Diceros bicornis minor: one gene and its partner. The protein of the gene in region 2 purifies or fractionates together with the protein of the main gene of each other region. This does not show direct contact. Links are inferred from orthologs where the notes say so. Each region holds a gene or a part of one and is shown on either strand. Other genes may lie near its edges.

Evidence for each region.
Region 1: the proteins of AKT3 (region 2) and CDC37 purify together in Homo sapiens (co-immunoprecipitation; 3 studies listed by BioGRID and IntAct, counting the BioPlex papers as one, with this or other methods). This does not show direct contact. The link is inferred for Diceros bicornis minor from reciprocal best matches to the Homo sapiens genes AKT3 and CDC37.

Annotation. Positions count from the first base shown.
Region 1 is NC_080769.1:8,806,756-8,814,562, reverse strand, and holds the start of CDC37 (hsp90 co-chaperone Cdc37), read right to left. Parts: upstream 3,063-7,807; 5' UTR 3,019-3,062; coding exon 2,917-3,018; intron 1-2,916. Other genes in the region: collagen alpha-1(I) chain-like, read right to left, coding at 4,415-4,887. UniProt on the Homo sapiens protein: Co-chaperone that binds to numerous kinases and promotes their interaction with the Hsp90 complex, resulting in stabilization and promotion of their activity. Inhibits HSP90AA1 ATPase activity.
Region 2 is NC_080777.1:1,522,202-1,529,632, reverse strand, and holds the start of AKT3 (RAC-gamma serine/threonine-protein kinase), read right to left. Parts: upstream 3,174-7,431; 5' UTR 2,776-3,173; intron 1-2,775. UniProt on the Homo sapiens protein: AKT3 is one of 3 closely related serine/threonine-protein kinases (AKT1, AKT2 and AKT3) called the AKT kinase, and which regulate many processes including metabolism, proliferation, cell survival, growth and angiogenesis.

The DNA of each region.
Region 1 (7,807 bases), on a different chromosome or scaffold from region 2:
ATCAGTAGACGGGTCCCACTGTTACGACCGTGGTCACGGCCACTGCCACCAGAATGGTCTGCTGACTTGTGTCTGGGCCTCATTCGAGGCTGTATCACGAGTTCGAGCACAGGGCCAGGCACATGGAGCATGAGAATGGGGAGAACCTTCTCTAAGGCCCCACAGGGCTGGCATGGCCAACCCGGAGCTCCCTCTCCCCATGTGGATAAGGGGTGGAGAAGGCTCTCGCCTCGTGGAGGGGTAAGAGAAGGCAGCCCTGGCCCCTGCCGCCTCCCCTTCTCCACCGTGGGCCTGCGTCACCCTGGAGCCTTCCCTCTGCCTTGCGAGGGGCTCTCTGGGGTTGGCACACAGCTGGCCTCGGCTGGCAGCAGGACCCTACCGCCCTGCTGGCTTCTGCTGCGCGGCCACCAAGCTCTCCCAGGTGTCGTCTGAGTGGCCGCCAGGGAGGCCGAAGCTAAATAAAGGGCTTGGAGCTGGTGGGGCGGCAGCCTGCCCGGCCTGGGCTTTACACCTCCGGGAGGGGCTGCAGCAGGCCGGGCAGGGCGGAAGCCACGGCAGCCAGAAGGTGCCACTGCCTCCCCGCCTTACAGACAGGGAAACTGAGGCTCATGGAATCTTGACGCCGCACAGCTCACTGGAAGGGCCCCAAGAAACCAGTAATGGCAAAGGAGCCAGGGAGCTGGAGCTGGGAAGCCTCACCTGTCCCCTTCTGGAAACTTCGGAATTTTTTTTTTTTTTACCATGAGTGTGAATTATCTAAATAAAAATGATGACAATAATGGCTAAGGTTTACAGAGAGCTCATCACATGCCGGCTGCTGTCCCAAGGGCATTACAAGCGTTAAACAAATAAGGTGACCCTTATAACAACCCTCTGGGGTGGATACTATTAATACTGCCAGCTGGGGAAACTGAGGCACAGAGAGATCAAAAGATTCGCTGGGGGTCATGCAGCAAGTCAAGGATTCAGGAGCCAGGATGTGAAGCCAGGTGGGCAGGCCTGTGCTCAGAAGCACACCCAGATGCCTTTTTACTAACCCCACCGCCCCCTCTGCTACCTTACTCCCTCTCAGGCCCTGAGCCAAGTTCTTTTCAGACCCAACCTCATTTCATTCTTACAGTGGTCTTGGGGACCAGGGGTCTTGCTGCCCCCAGAGCAGAGCAGCAAGGGGCAGGGCTGGGATTAGAACCCAGGCTTGCCTGCTGGTGGAGCCGCTGAGGCCCCCTGCCTCCACTACAGCCTCGGGGCTCTCTTGGCAGCAGGACAGGAAAAGGTTCTGGGCCAGGAGGGAGGCGGGAAGAGGGCGTGGCGGGAGGAAGACGCTGCAGGAGAGGGGGCACCCGCCTCCCACCCAGCAGGACCAAACCCTTCTCCATTCTGAGCTATAGATTAACCTCTGAATGTGACAGAAAGAGGTGTTCCCAAGAATAGTCTTTTAGAGCTTTGTGAAGGTCTTAAGTATTTCATAATAAGGTGTTACACACGGCAAGAAGCACAAATGCTAGAACTTTCTTCTTACACCTCAGGGGCTTGCCCGGCAGGCCAAGAGACAGCTGCTTTAAGAAATGGGTTGGAGATGGAACCGGGAACCAGCTGTAGGGACTACCGCCCTGTCTTGGCAGGACAGAGAAGGGCCCTTCTAGGAGGTTCTGGATAAATGACTGGGAGTAGCCATATGGGAGAGTGGAGTGAGGAATTTCTAACTGGAAGGTTCTGAGAAATATACACTCTCAGTTTGAGAGTATAACATAGGTATGTGGGTACAGGAGTTCTGATTTGGGGGAGCAGGTTAGGCCATTAGGTCTTATGAGAGCCATTCTGTTGGTCTGCCAGCACTGCTGGGCAGGGAGGGGGGCAAGAGGACACCCAGACTTAGGATTCTGGGTCTGGATTTAAGAGCAAAGAGATAAAAGAAGGGGCAGTGAATTTGGAATCACACTGGGAGGGTCCCTGGTGGGGGCAAGGACAATCTGGGTGTCCGAGAACAGCAGACCAGCCTGGGGTCAGGAGGAAGGCGAGGTGGCCTTGGGTTTGGGTGACAATTCCAACGCCAGCAAAGGTTCCCACAGGAAGCCTGTCTTGGGGTGGGCAATGACTGGGTCTGCACTACCCAGCAGAGGCAGGAGTTCTGGCTGGGCGGGAGCCACGTGGGTAGGGTTTCCAGGTGTGATGGGAAATGAGGTCTGCAGTGGGTGACACTAAAGAAGAGCGGCTGGAAGTGGAGGCTCCCTCAGGGTGGAGCTGGTGGCTCAGTCTGGAAGGGAACACGATTCCAAAACTCTAGTCCTAGATGGGACTGAAGGCCCTGGGGGGGCACGGGTCTACACTCTAGGAAAGGAGTCTTGGGTATGGCTTCGAGTCCCAGGCCAGGAACAGAAATCTCAGGGGAAGACAGAGCTCCTTGCTTTGTTTGGAGGAGTGGGATCTCTGGATCTGAATGGGAACCCCGTCAAGACCCAGGGAGGAAGACTCCAGAATAGAAGCAAAGTATTAGGGGTCCAGACTCTAGGAACTGGGGAGGGCCGATGGGATATCCAAGAAAAGTGGGTACCCGAATAGGACCCGGGTCCAGACTCTGAGGCAGAGTTCTGAGTGTAGATGGAAGGTCCCAGACAGGATTGGGGGGCACCCACAAAGCTTATCTTGAGAGTCTAGCCTCCGAAGAAGGTGCCCTATGGATCAACTGGGAGTTCCATGCAGAAATCGGAAGCGGGGCCCGGATCGCGGGCAGGAACCCAGGGTCCCGGCAGTTCTGGGGTCCCGGAGTTGAATCAAGGAACCCCGGGCGATAATGAAAGTCCAGACTGCGGGGTGGGGATCCCGGGTGTCAATGGCGGGGCCCTGGCGGTATCGGGGGGCAGAACTCCGGAGCGGAGTCCCGGCAGCGGGGGAAGGGGATGGGCGCACGCGCTCTACCTGGTGCCGCCAGCGGAAGAGGCTGGCCGTGTCGATGTTGGGGTGCGTCTCGTCCTCATCGTCAGACACCTCGATGTGGTCCCACACGCTGTAGTCCACCATCTTGCCTCGGCGGCCCAGCCCGCTCCGGCGGCGGCGGCAGCGCTGGAGGCTCAGCCCGCGGAGCCCCGCCCCTTCCGTTTCCGCCTGCGCGCGCACGCCCCTGCCCGCGCATGACGTCACATCCTTGGTAACGGCGGCGGCGGCGCTGGAGACCGAGCTCGCCTTAAAGGGCCCTGCGCACGTGTGCTGGCCCCCGGGAGTCCCCGCCGAGACCCCCTCTCATCCGGACCCAGGCACCTCCTGGGGGTATACGGGAGGGCGCTCTAACCTCTATCCCCCCGCATCTCCCGCTGCCCCACGTCGGGCGTTTGCGGCGGCCGTGGGGTGGAGGGGACAGTTCGTGAGACTGAGGGAGAGGATTGTCCCCTTAGTCACGCCGCAGTGACGTCAGCCCGAGCCCACTGCAGGGGCGGGGCCTCGGCGAAACTACCCGCCCCTCTGCCCTGTGTGGGGAGGGACCTAACCCTACGCTGGGGAGGGGTGTGTCGGATCGCAGGGGACCTTCCCAGTCCGAGGGGTACAGGGCCCTGCCCTGGGAGCCTGTAACTGGAGGAGGGATATGGCCTTGCCCTTGGGGCGTCGGAGGTGGGGGCGAAGTGGCTGTGCTTTGGGGGCTGCTGTTTTCCAGGCTCGGGCACAGCGTCCTCATCTTCCGCCACTCTTGAGCGGGGATTCGCGCACACACGCCCACTCTGGAATCACCCGGATCCCCCGCAACGGGTCCCGGGCGCCCGCCCGCGGCGTCTCCCCGTGCGGCCGCTAGGTGTCGCTAATGTCTAGCCAGCGGTCAGGGCTCCTGGCCCCGTGCAGGGCCGGGTCGGGGGGGATCGTGGAGGTGCGGATGGGGGCTTTCCTCGTCGTGGTGCTCTAGGACCCCTCCAGGCCCTCCCCTTTCGTTTGGGGCCCCCTGCCTCGGCCGGAGCTCTAAGGACTCCCTTACTCTGAGCTTGGGCGACCCCAGCCGCACTCTTGCGTACACCCCAACCCACGCTTTGATACTGGGATAAAAGGCCGTGTTGCAGCCGAGGGCCGGGATTATCTCAGATTAAAGGGCGCTCCGTGGGGGCCGGGTGGGATGGGAGGAGTTTCACTCGGGTGAGGGGCGCCTCTTCCCAGAGCTGCTGTTTGCAGGGAGGGGACTGGAGGGGATGGAGTAAAGGGCTCCAGATTGGGGGCGGATTCCCCGGCCTGGGGAGGAGGTGGGGCCATTCAAACAAAAGCGCCCGCCCGCTGCCGCCCCTCCCCCTCGAGCTCCATTCAACCCCGTGAGTGGGCGGGCGGGGGAGTCCCTCTCCTCCCCCTCCCCCAACCCCTCCCCCTCCAGCCCGGGCAGTCCAGCATCTCAGCGGCCGTCACGGCCCGAGCACGCGCGCAAGGACCCACACCCCAGCGGGTCTCACAATCGCGCACACACACGTACACACACCCCAGCAAACAAAGGGTCTGGACACCCCTGTCCCCTCCCGCCCCCCAGGCCGGAGAGGGCGGGGCATCCCCTCCCCAGCCCCCCTGCAAGGTAAGCTTCGGGCTGCGAGCTGCGGTGGGGAGGGAGACCCGGCGCCCCGGAGGGAGGGGGCCAGGACAGTGGGGGCTTCCTCTGCTCCCCAAGAAAGCCGGGCCCCCCCCGTACGCCCTTGGAGGCTTCAGGCCGGCTTCCGGGCTCGGGGTGTGTGGGGAGGACCCCGGATGTCGGGGATTCCCGGGTAGGCGCGGGGGGGTCTCTCCCCGGCTTCGGAGACTGAAGCTGCCCGGTGCCAGCGAAACGGGGTCCTAGGAGCCCCAGCTCCCAGAACTGGAGAGAGGGCGCCGGAAGCTGCCCCATCAGCGAGGAGCATTTCCGAATCTCCTGCCAGCACAGCATCTCCAACCCTGGGGACCGAAACAGAGACCCCTGAGTTGCTTTGCACTGTCCCTCGGTCTCCCACCCCCCTCCTCCCGTCAGAGCATCCCCTGCTTCGTTTCTCGGACCTGTGAGGTGGGCGCGGGGGCTGGGAGTGCTCCTCTGGGCTACACAAGCTTCGTCTGCTGTATCCCACAGCCACGCACTCGCTACTGAGCTGCGGTGGGCCCCGGCAAGCGGCTTTGCCTTCCTGAGCCTCAATGTCCCCATCTGCAAAGTGGGTAATGACACGGCCAGGATGCCCAGGGGCCATGCACGCGAGCCTGCCTTTCCTCCATCATTTATTTCTTAGCTCATTTCACACATATTTCCCGAGAGCCTGCTATGCGCCACGGCGCTGTGGCCAGGCGGGGGCTACAGCCACCAACAAGACCAGCTGGGTCCCTGCTCTGCTGCCCCTCAAGGCTGGCGAGGGAGCAAGATCCGTGTCTAAACAGAGAAGTACCCGCGGCGATTGCAGACCGTGAAGACGAACCTTCCATCAGGCAAGGGCGGGGGTGGGGGGGTGTTGGAGATTAAATGAGATTTCTGGGTCGTTCCTGCCTTCCTTGTTCGCTTCAGCTCCACGAGGGCAGGGCCGGCTTTAGAACAGGGCCTGGCACACAGTTGGCGCCCCATAAATGTTGAATGAATTAAAGAAGGGCTTAGATTAAAACTATTTTCATGGCACTTGAGATCAGGAAGGAAGCTTATCATGAACCGATCCATCCCCTCTCCCATTTTACAGATGAAGCAACTGAGTCCGTAAGACCCAGAGAAAGGAAAAGATGGTGTTAACGGTGATACAGGGAGTTTATAAGGGGACATCATTCCCCTAAAAGTGAGGATGGCTGAAGGCATGGTTGTGAACAGCTGAGAAAGAAAGAGAGTAGAGAACACACTTGCACACAGGGCCCCCTGGGAGCCCAGCGAGCACCCACCTCTCCCTCTGTACCATGCAGACACAGCCCTGCATTCATCCATTCAACAAGTATTCAGCGCCTACTATATGCCAGGTGCGGGGGACACAGCAGTGAACAGAGCAAAACTCCTTGCCCCCCTGGAGCTGATATTTAGTGGAAGAAACAGAAAAGAAACAACATAAACAAACAAATAAATATATAACAACAAATTATGATTAGGACTTCGATGGAAATAGATGGCTTCTGACAAGAAAGAAAAATGAAAGGGTGCAATTCAGATTCGGCATCCAGGAAGACTTCCTGGAGGAGGTGGCTTACTCTTCACACACACACTTGAATCCAGACAAACGTAATCATACTAACAAATACTCAGGCTGAAGCCTGAGAACCTAATGTGTCTGAGGCCATACAGCTCATGAGTGGCTGAGCAGAGAATTGAACCCCAAATCTGCATTTCTAACCACTGTGAAATGCTGTTCCTGTTGCATCCACATGCATGTACCCCACCTCCCCAACACACACACACTCATATGACAGTCACACACAGACATGACCTGTCACCCTGTCCTGTACACACACTCCCACAGGTACAGTCTGATCTCAACTACGCAAACTCAGACTCACAGAAAGTTCCACCCGTCCGGTTGCACATGCACAGTTGGGTACAAAGTCTCATGCACGCACACACACGTGCACACACACACGCACGGCGCCCCTGACTGTCCTTCTCAGCCCTGCTCCAGCTCCAGGCATGGAGCTTGAGTAGTGATTGTCCCCTAATTCAGGCTTGAAGGCTCAGGGCCAAGGTGTGGCCAAGGGTGCTTATCCTCATTTCCTTCCATCTTGTTGGCTCCCCGTCCCCATATTGTTTTCAGGGAGGATGTTGGGCTGGGTGAAGCCATGTCGGGCCAGGCCAGGGGCTCCCAGGCTGGGCCAGTGGCTGACAAGCTGGGTGGGGAAAAGGCCTCTCCCAGCCTGAGCCGGGTGCCAGCTGCCCAGAGTGGCCTGCTCTGCCATCTGGACGCCCCTCCCCAGCTGGCCTGCTGCCCGGGGGAGGGGAAGGCAGTTTAGTGCCCCCATCCACCCGGGCACTCAGGCTGGCTCCTGAGGCCCTGCCTCCCCAACCTGGGTTTCCGCCAGGGCTGATTCCTGCAAACGCGCACGGGTGTCCAGACAGTGGTGGCACGCACACGTGTCTCTGCCCCCCCCTCCCCCCCCCACCTCTCCCACCCCGGCCAGTGGGGCTCCTCTGGCCACCCTTCCTTCACTCCACAAATCCTTGAGCACCTACCATGGGCTGTTCCAGGCCGGGCTGCAGAATTTGCAGAGCCCAGGGCAAAATGCAAATGCAGGTTCAAAAGGATGAAGAATTTCAAGACAATGACAGCTGCGTATTAAACCTTCTAAGCTCGGGGCCCTGGGCGAAGGCACAGGTCACGTGTCCATGAAGTTGGCCCCCGATACAGCTAGAACCAGACAGAAGAATCCCCTGCCCTTGTGGAACTAAGGAGTTGGGAGAGCAGAAACATAAATAAATAATATGTCAGGGGTGATGAGAGCTGAGAAGAAAGATAAAGCTGAGTGAGGGGCACAGAGTGATGGGGTTCAGGGAAGCATCTGTGTCGGAGAAGGCCTCTAGAAGGAGGTGCCTCTGAACAGAGACCCGAAAGAGGTGAGGAAGTCAAGCAGATTTATTCCTTTATTCAAGAGATATTTGTTGAGCGCCTACTGTATGCCAGCATTGTCCTAGGCCCTGGAGATCCAGCAGGGGACAGAAGAGACCAACATCCTGACTTCATGTCTTAATCAAAGGCCAGGCAATAGCTAATAAAAATAGTAGGTAAATTCTATATCTTGTTAGAATGTTACAAGTCTAAAACCAACAAACAAGTGAAAGCAGAGCCAGGGAAATCAGGAAGCTGGGAGGAGCACAGGATAACTGAAGCTGGTTTTCTGGATGGAGGGAACAGCAAGTGCAAAGGTCCTG
Region 2 (7,431 bases):
AAGTCTACAAAAATTAATTATGTGCATTAATTTATATTAACTTGAGGAAAATAAAAATGCAAGTCAAATTACAAGACTAATTTGGTCAAAACAAAATGAAACAGTTTAGTTTTCTGCCTTGCATCTTATGTTATTCAAATCTAAGTGGTTTTAAATTAAATATTTTTTAATGCTTGAAACTTAATCACACTATAAGATCCTATCAAATAATGCTAAAAATTCAATTAACATGTTGTTAACAATAATCGTCTTATCTTCCCAAGAGTGAATTCTTGAACTAAAAGGTATAACAACAAAAGAAGTATAGCTATCTTCTCACAAAAATATGCAAAGTTTAAGTAAATTCTAAACTTCCAGAAAAACAATTTGTAAAACAGGTTCCTCTTTTTAAAGAAACCCAAATAGTTGGAAATTTCCATTCAACTTTTTTAAGAAAGAAAATATCTCATATGTTTAAATCAAAATCTAGAGTCTAAAAAATCTTAAATCTCTACTTTGCACAGGACTCTGCTGAGTACATTTGTCCTGTGACATGTTTAACAAAAACATGTTTAGATTTCCAGTGATTCTGAAAACAAATTCTCGTTCTTTGATCTTCTGGACGAAATGTAAATAAGACAGTTTTTAATCAAACCAGCCCCTCACACACAGTTCACACTCTGGTATTCGTTGAATGAATGAATGAAATCTTATTTAAAATATTTTACAGCTATAAAATTACATTAACAAAAAAAGTCCAAAGCAGAACTCTTAAGTACTCTGAACATGCAACTTAAACCAAGAGTCAATGTCAAACTAAATACTTTAAGTCGGAAAACAATTCACTAAAGTAATCATTATGGAAAGGCTAAGTGTAGGGGACAACATGAATACAAATAACAGTTTCAGAAATTTTTTGATAGAATTACTTGAGACTAGATCTTACTTTTTAAATACTACAAGAAAACATACTACGTCAAATACACAGCACAAATATACAACTGAAAACGAAAACTCTACAGTCATCTGAATTCCAATGTTGTCCCATTCATATATTATGTGCACTCCCTCACTTTAAAATGAGAAGCTCAACCAATCAAAGATACTGGGGTTAACCCTAGTGAGAAAGACAAAAAGTAGACCTTCAGATACAGTCTCCTCGGTAAACTTTCAAAGGCAAGTTTATGTATTGGCAAAAGAAAAAAAAAAAAGTACAGTCTTGATAAATATCTTGCAAATAACTGTGCATTCAGTCATATACCTTGGGAAACAAGTAATTTACTCATAGGTAGATACTCTAAAAAAAAGATATTTTCATGTTTGAGACAACTACCTCCTGAATATGTGCGTGTGTTTCAGACAACCACCTCCTGGAATATTCATCTTCATTTATACATATTTTGCAATGATACTCAAGTTCTGAAGACAAACTTGCCCAAACCATCTTTATTGGACTCTTCCACCTTCGGCTTTTTCAACTATTTCCTAACAATGTAAACCTAATTTAACGAGTTTCCACCAAAAACAAAACCACGGGTCGCCTAGTGATTTACGGTATACTCTACTAAGAGATATAATATGACCATGCTTTACCAAATATGGAAGACATATCTAAACTCATGATATGAGGCAGCTGGCAACGTATTAACTGCAAAAAGTCATTATTTCATACCTTTTAGCTACAAGATGAGCTAAACAGTGTGAACAGTTTATTAATACTAGTAATTAATCAATACAGACACATAGGTTTCACTGTCGAATTTCTACTTGGAAATGTTATCCAGTCCAAACTACTGGGCTTCCAACCCATTACCACGCTGGTGAAACGGGCTGGTTTTATTTTCACAACACTATGCTGATGGGAGAAATCAGGGCATCCTAAGCCTTGACTCACGGGTAAACACTTCCTCCGCTTTCTGAAGACCCACACTCAACATCGGTACGGAACACCCGGCCCCAGAGAGACGCACCCCCGCCCCGCTGTCGGTTCCCGGGAAATCCCAGACCCGGAGGGACCGCGCCTAGGAGCCCGGGCGAACGCGGCAGCCCGCGGGCTTCCACTCGGGGCCCTGAAGGGCCCGCCAGCATCATGGCTGATGCGGCCCGACGCGCAGGAGGCGGCGGCGGCCGAGGAAGAGGCTGGTTTGTTTACTTGCAGCCGCGCCGCCGCCGCCAGCAGCGACAGCATCACTGGAGCCGCCAAACCAGCATCTTCCGCACGTTTCTATTCTTAGCGCACAACTCCCGAGCGGATTAGAACCCCAGCACCATTAGGGACGCAGACCGGCCCCGGGCCCCCGCCCACGCCCCCGCCCCGCCGGCCGGCTCCCCCGGGCGCGGGCCGGGGTCGGCGGGGGAGGGGCCCCCCGGGCGCCGGCGCATCCTCGCCCACCCCACCCACCCCCCCGCGCGCGGACGGCCTCACCCGCCCGAACCCCGGCCCGGCGCCCCCGCGTTACATAACCTCGCGCCCCGGCCGCGGACCCTCCCCACGCCCCGCGGCCGGCGGAGCCGCGCGCAGACCGGGGGCGCCGGGCGGGCGCCCAGGCGCGCACCGCGCCGCTAGGCCGGGAGCCCCCGCGTCCCCCGAGAGCGCGGGGCGCCGCGGTCCCCCGCGCCGCGTCCCCGGCCTCCCGCCCGCCGCCCAGCCCCCGCCCACGCCCCCGGCGCGGTGACAACCCCGACGCCCCCGCCGCCGCCCCCCGCCCGAGGGGAGCCGAGAGGAGGCCGGCCGGCCGGGCCGCAGGGAGCGCGGCGCGCCGGGGAGGGGGCGCGGGTGGGGGCGGCGGCTGTTACCTGCAGAGGCGGCGGCGGCCCGCAGCTGCTGGGCGGCGGCGGAGGATGGAGCCGGGGGGCGGGGGGAGGAGAGGGGGCGACTCGGGGGTCCCCCTCCCTCCTCCTCCCCTCCTGTCCTCCCCCCACCCCGCAGAGCCTCGGGCCCCTGGAGCCGGCGGCCGCGGCGGGCAGGCGGAAGGCTGCAGGGAGGAGGGAGGGAGCCGGCCGGGCCGGGCCGCGGAGCTGGAGCGGGAGGCGGCGGCGGTGGCGGCGGCGGGAGGCGGGCGGCGGCGGGAGGAGGCGGAGACTACATGGGAATCGGATATCGGCTACAAATTCGATTCATCACCACGGAACGCCGCCGGGCGGGGGCCGGGCACGCCGGCGAGCGGCGCGGGGGCTCGGGCCGGGGCGGGTCGGGGGCCGCGGCCTCCTCAGCCGGCCGCGCCTCGCCTCACGGGGACCCCGCCGCCGCCCCTCCCTCCCTCCTTCCCTCAGGGGGCCGCCGCTGCGGGGCTTGTTGTTGACTTTGAGGAAAACTCCTGACGTCAAGGCTGGCTCGCGGCGACTGGCGGGAGCGGCGTCCCCGCGCCCCGGCCCGGCCCGCCGCCCCGGCTCCCTCCCGCCGGGCCTCGTCCTCGGGCTGCCCCGCGCCCCCCGGAGCCGCGGCGCCCGCGCCCCTCTCCTCTCGCGAGAACATCCCCCCGGCCAGCCAGCCAGCGCCGGGAGCGGGGGAGTCGTTCCCGGGCGGGAAGTGCCGGGTTTCCCCGCGCCCGCGTGGCCCGCGGCCGGCGCCCGAGGCCCGGGAGGGAGGCTCGCTGCCCCGGGAGGAGCCCGCCGCCCCCACGCGCCCTCGCCGCGGCCGGGCCCCGGGCTGACGCCTCCCGCCACACGGGCTCCCGGGGGGTGGGACCCGCACCTGGAAGCCCCCGAGGCGGCGGTGCCCTGGGGAGGTGACCTCGAGAGCTGGGGGGGGGGGGGGTCCCCGCACCCCAGGGGTCAGTCCAAAACGAAAGACCACTCCCGACTCTCCCAGGAGACCGCACTGTCCAGTCCAGACCCCTCCGAAGAGCCATCCACAGTGCTCCTGGAAGCAGGCATAGCCACACACAGTACACAGGTTGCAGTGGGACCGCGATTCACTCTTAAAATTACACGCGTTTTAGGGACATTAGTTTTCGTTGACTTGGGGGAAGCCTGCCTGGATTGCTTTCACCACAAAGAAGATAACCATTTCTTTCTTTTGAAGTTCATGGCTCCTGAGAATATTTGCCATGGAGACACTATTTTTGCAAAATGGCCATATTTTACCATACACCACACTCCATGAAGTTAGAAAAGTTTGTATTTTTTCTGGCACCATGTTTGTCGCTTCTGGAACGCTTTGAAAATGCCGTATTATTTCGCCACGTGGCTCTAGCCTTGATGTACCTGTTATTTTCCCCAGTGCAAGATTCTTGTTAAGGCTTTTGGCTTCTTTCTGTTAGAAGAGTTCCTCCTCCCGACACGCACTTCCTTCTCTGCTTTTCCATGTTCTGACAACGTTGTGATGGTAGTCATTCTTTTATACTATATCCCTGGTACTTATATAGTGAGTTGTATTTATACATCTGTGTCCACATCTTTTCTGTTGTGAAATGCAAATCTATTCAGATTGTAGACAGAAGTATGTAACCTAATAGGAAAGAAAAGGGGTTGTTTTTAAGTCAGTTTTCTCCATTTGTAAGGGAAACGTTTCCCTGACCATTCTAGAACAAAATTTGCCGTTTTAAGATACACAGTCCACCCAAGAGACAAGTCCTCAATTGCTGCCTTTCTCCTTTTCCCGTATTTCCCAGCACATCAGGAATTAATTAATAAAAAGACTGTATCCTAATTCTATTCAGTTTTTCTGTGTATACAGTACATAATTTATTCCCATAATTATCAGCCCTCTAACAGTCTCTATTGGCAAAATGATTCAGTTACAGATTTCTTGCTGTAAAACACAAAAATGGGTCAGATTTTTATTCTATCGTAACGCAACCCACTTTTTAAGAAAATAGTCCCTTATGACACCAGCACTAAAAAGATTGTCTAGAAATCTCTGTTAAATATTTAACTCTGAGAGTTATAGTATTCTGAATTACTAGATATCTCTTATCAATTGCAATTTTCATTTGTTTTCAATCTCAACATCAACATATTTGTGAGAACCAAATTGTCTTATGAGCCATACTGCCTAAAAATATTTCTCCTAGTCTCATCAGATTGTATTGAATCTTAGCTGGATTAAACCCTAAAATTAAGTATTGTATAGACTACAATGGATTATAGACTCTGGGCTTCATGTATTTGAAAATTGTAAACTTTTATTTTTGCTCTACTTTGCTTTTCTACTATAGTAGTTTCATAAATTTCTATAATAAAACCATGTCGGTTTTTATTGTAGAATTATTATTTATTATAGAACTATTATTTGTTTTGAAAACATTATTTTTCCTTTTAGACTGTGCCATCATGAATTTGGCAGAATCTGCCAGTTGTGGCATGACGGTACTCCATACAGAATGTAAGCTTGATTTCTCCTCCTCTTCCTTGTCATCACATCCCAAAAATATGGGGAGTGGCAGCGTGTTCATCCATGGGAAAGTCCCTCCCAGATTTCAGAGAGAAAGCCCTCATTCTTTATTAAGCTGGATATTCTTCAGGCTAACATCTCTCAGTCGTAGTAATTTATGATTCTGAAGGAGAGTATTCACTCTTCCTGACTGCCAATGAGTAAATTAGATACTGAGAGCTATTTCTTAGTACTTCCATCATTTCTTGGGAGTACCTTAAACTAGAAGGTATATTTAGAATTTTAAGACATCAGGTAACAAAAATTAAGTTATGCTTCTCTTCCTTAGTAAAAAGAGTATCTTGTCTCCAGTGTCTAGGATAGGACATGGCACAAAGTATGAACCGAATAAGTGTTTGTTGACTGACTGAATGAATGAACAAATACATCTGTGCCCTATGTGCAGTTTATACAGTACTGTCCTCTTGGGGTGGCTTATTGGAAAGATCATGAACACACTTGGAGACTTGCAGACCTGAGTTCAAATCCTCTCTCAGCAGAATTTATGTCTCAGGCAAGTTGCTTAACTTTTCTAAGCCTTAATTTCCTCATTTGTGAAATGACAGTTACAACCACTTCATCAGCTTATTACTAGAATTAAATGTGATGAAATATTAGATAGTATCTAAAACATAGTGAGTGGTCAGCAAGCTAAAATTCCTTTACCATAAATGTGAATATATTCGTTAAGATAACTCGAGCTGCTACAAGTAAATACAAAAATCTATCCTGGCACACAACAAAAGAAGTGTATTTCTCATCCGTGTAAAGTTCTGAATGGCAGGCATTTTATTCTTATATATGCTTAGGGCCCAAGTTTCTTCCGTGAAGAACTCTGACACGTTCAACACATAATCACAGCATCGAGCTGGCAGAAGAGGGAAAAGCATGGCGGATCACTCAAGGAAGCTTTTACGCACATTCACGTTCCACTGGCCAGAACGCTCCCAAGCCACCTGACTACAAGGCAGGCCATGAAATGGAGTCTAGCCCAGGAAGAAAAGAAATAGGTTTGATGGACAACCAGCCAGTCTCTGCCATAGTTGGTTTCTGAAATAACTATGTTAAGTCTACAGCTGATTACAGTCTACAGATGATTAATAGAGCAATTTCCAAAAGAGCATAGTTTAAATCCAGGTATAAGAAGAGTCACTTGCAAGAGTTATCAGTACTAATTGTCTTTTTCTCTTTTTCACAGATCTTTCTTAAGGTGTAGGTCAAATGTCTGTATTAGTGACACATGTGAATACCTGAGGAACAGGTATGTCAATAACCTGATGCCATGTGAAACTGGGATACTTAAAGCCCTCTGGAAACCTCCCTCTTATTTCATTGTCAGATTTTTTTCCTGCTACGTTGCTAGAGTATGAATGAAAACTTTTTCATTCATATTGTCACATTCTCTGTTAGACAGCTGAGCCTGTTAGCAACTTAAGCAATCTCATTTCAGGACGCTTGGGTCACAGAAAGTTACTGACCACGGTTAAATAGCTGTGGGGCATCCAGCTAGAATTCATGTTCTAATTCCAAAGCAACAAGCATACATAATTATTATTCCCGGCTGTGCGGGAGAATCAGGTATGCAATAAAACTAATACATACATATTGTAATCCCAGAGCCTCATTTTAGGATACAATTTTAATTTCCGGAGGTGGTGTGCATTTCTAGCTGTTTCAGAATCTGCTCCGTGGGGACTGGACTTTTCAACACAACAGGTAGTAGTGAAATAATGACGGTAAATTTCCACCCCTCACCTAAGTAATTACTTCAACTTCTTCCTCAGTTATCTCATGTAAATACAGTTCTGTTTCAGAAAGTCCCCCCATCCATTTTAAAACACAGTTTCTTCTGCTAATGAAAATACTTTCAGAATCAACTGGAAAGTTTCAAATCTACATCTGACTTTTTTTTTTTTTTGACCCACTACGAAGTCCTTCAATTATTGAATTTGTAATATTTCATTAAGTAATGCTGATTTGCTTTTTTATAGTAGGAGGAAATTCAGTCTCAGAATTTTTCTATTGACCTTTGGTTACTGGACAGAACTATGACCTCTTTAAGTTGCAAACACTATCTC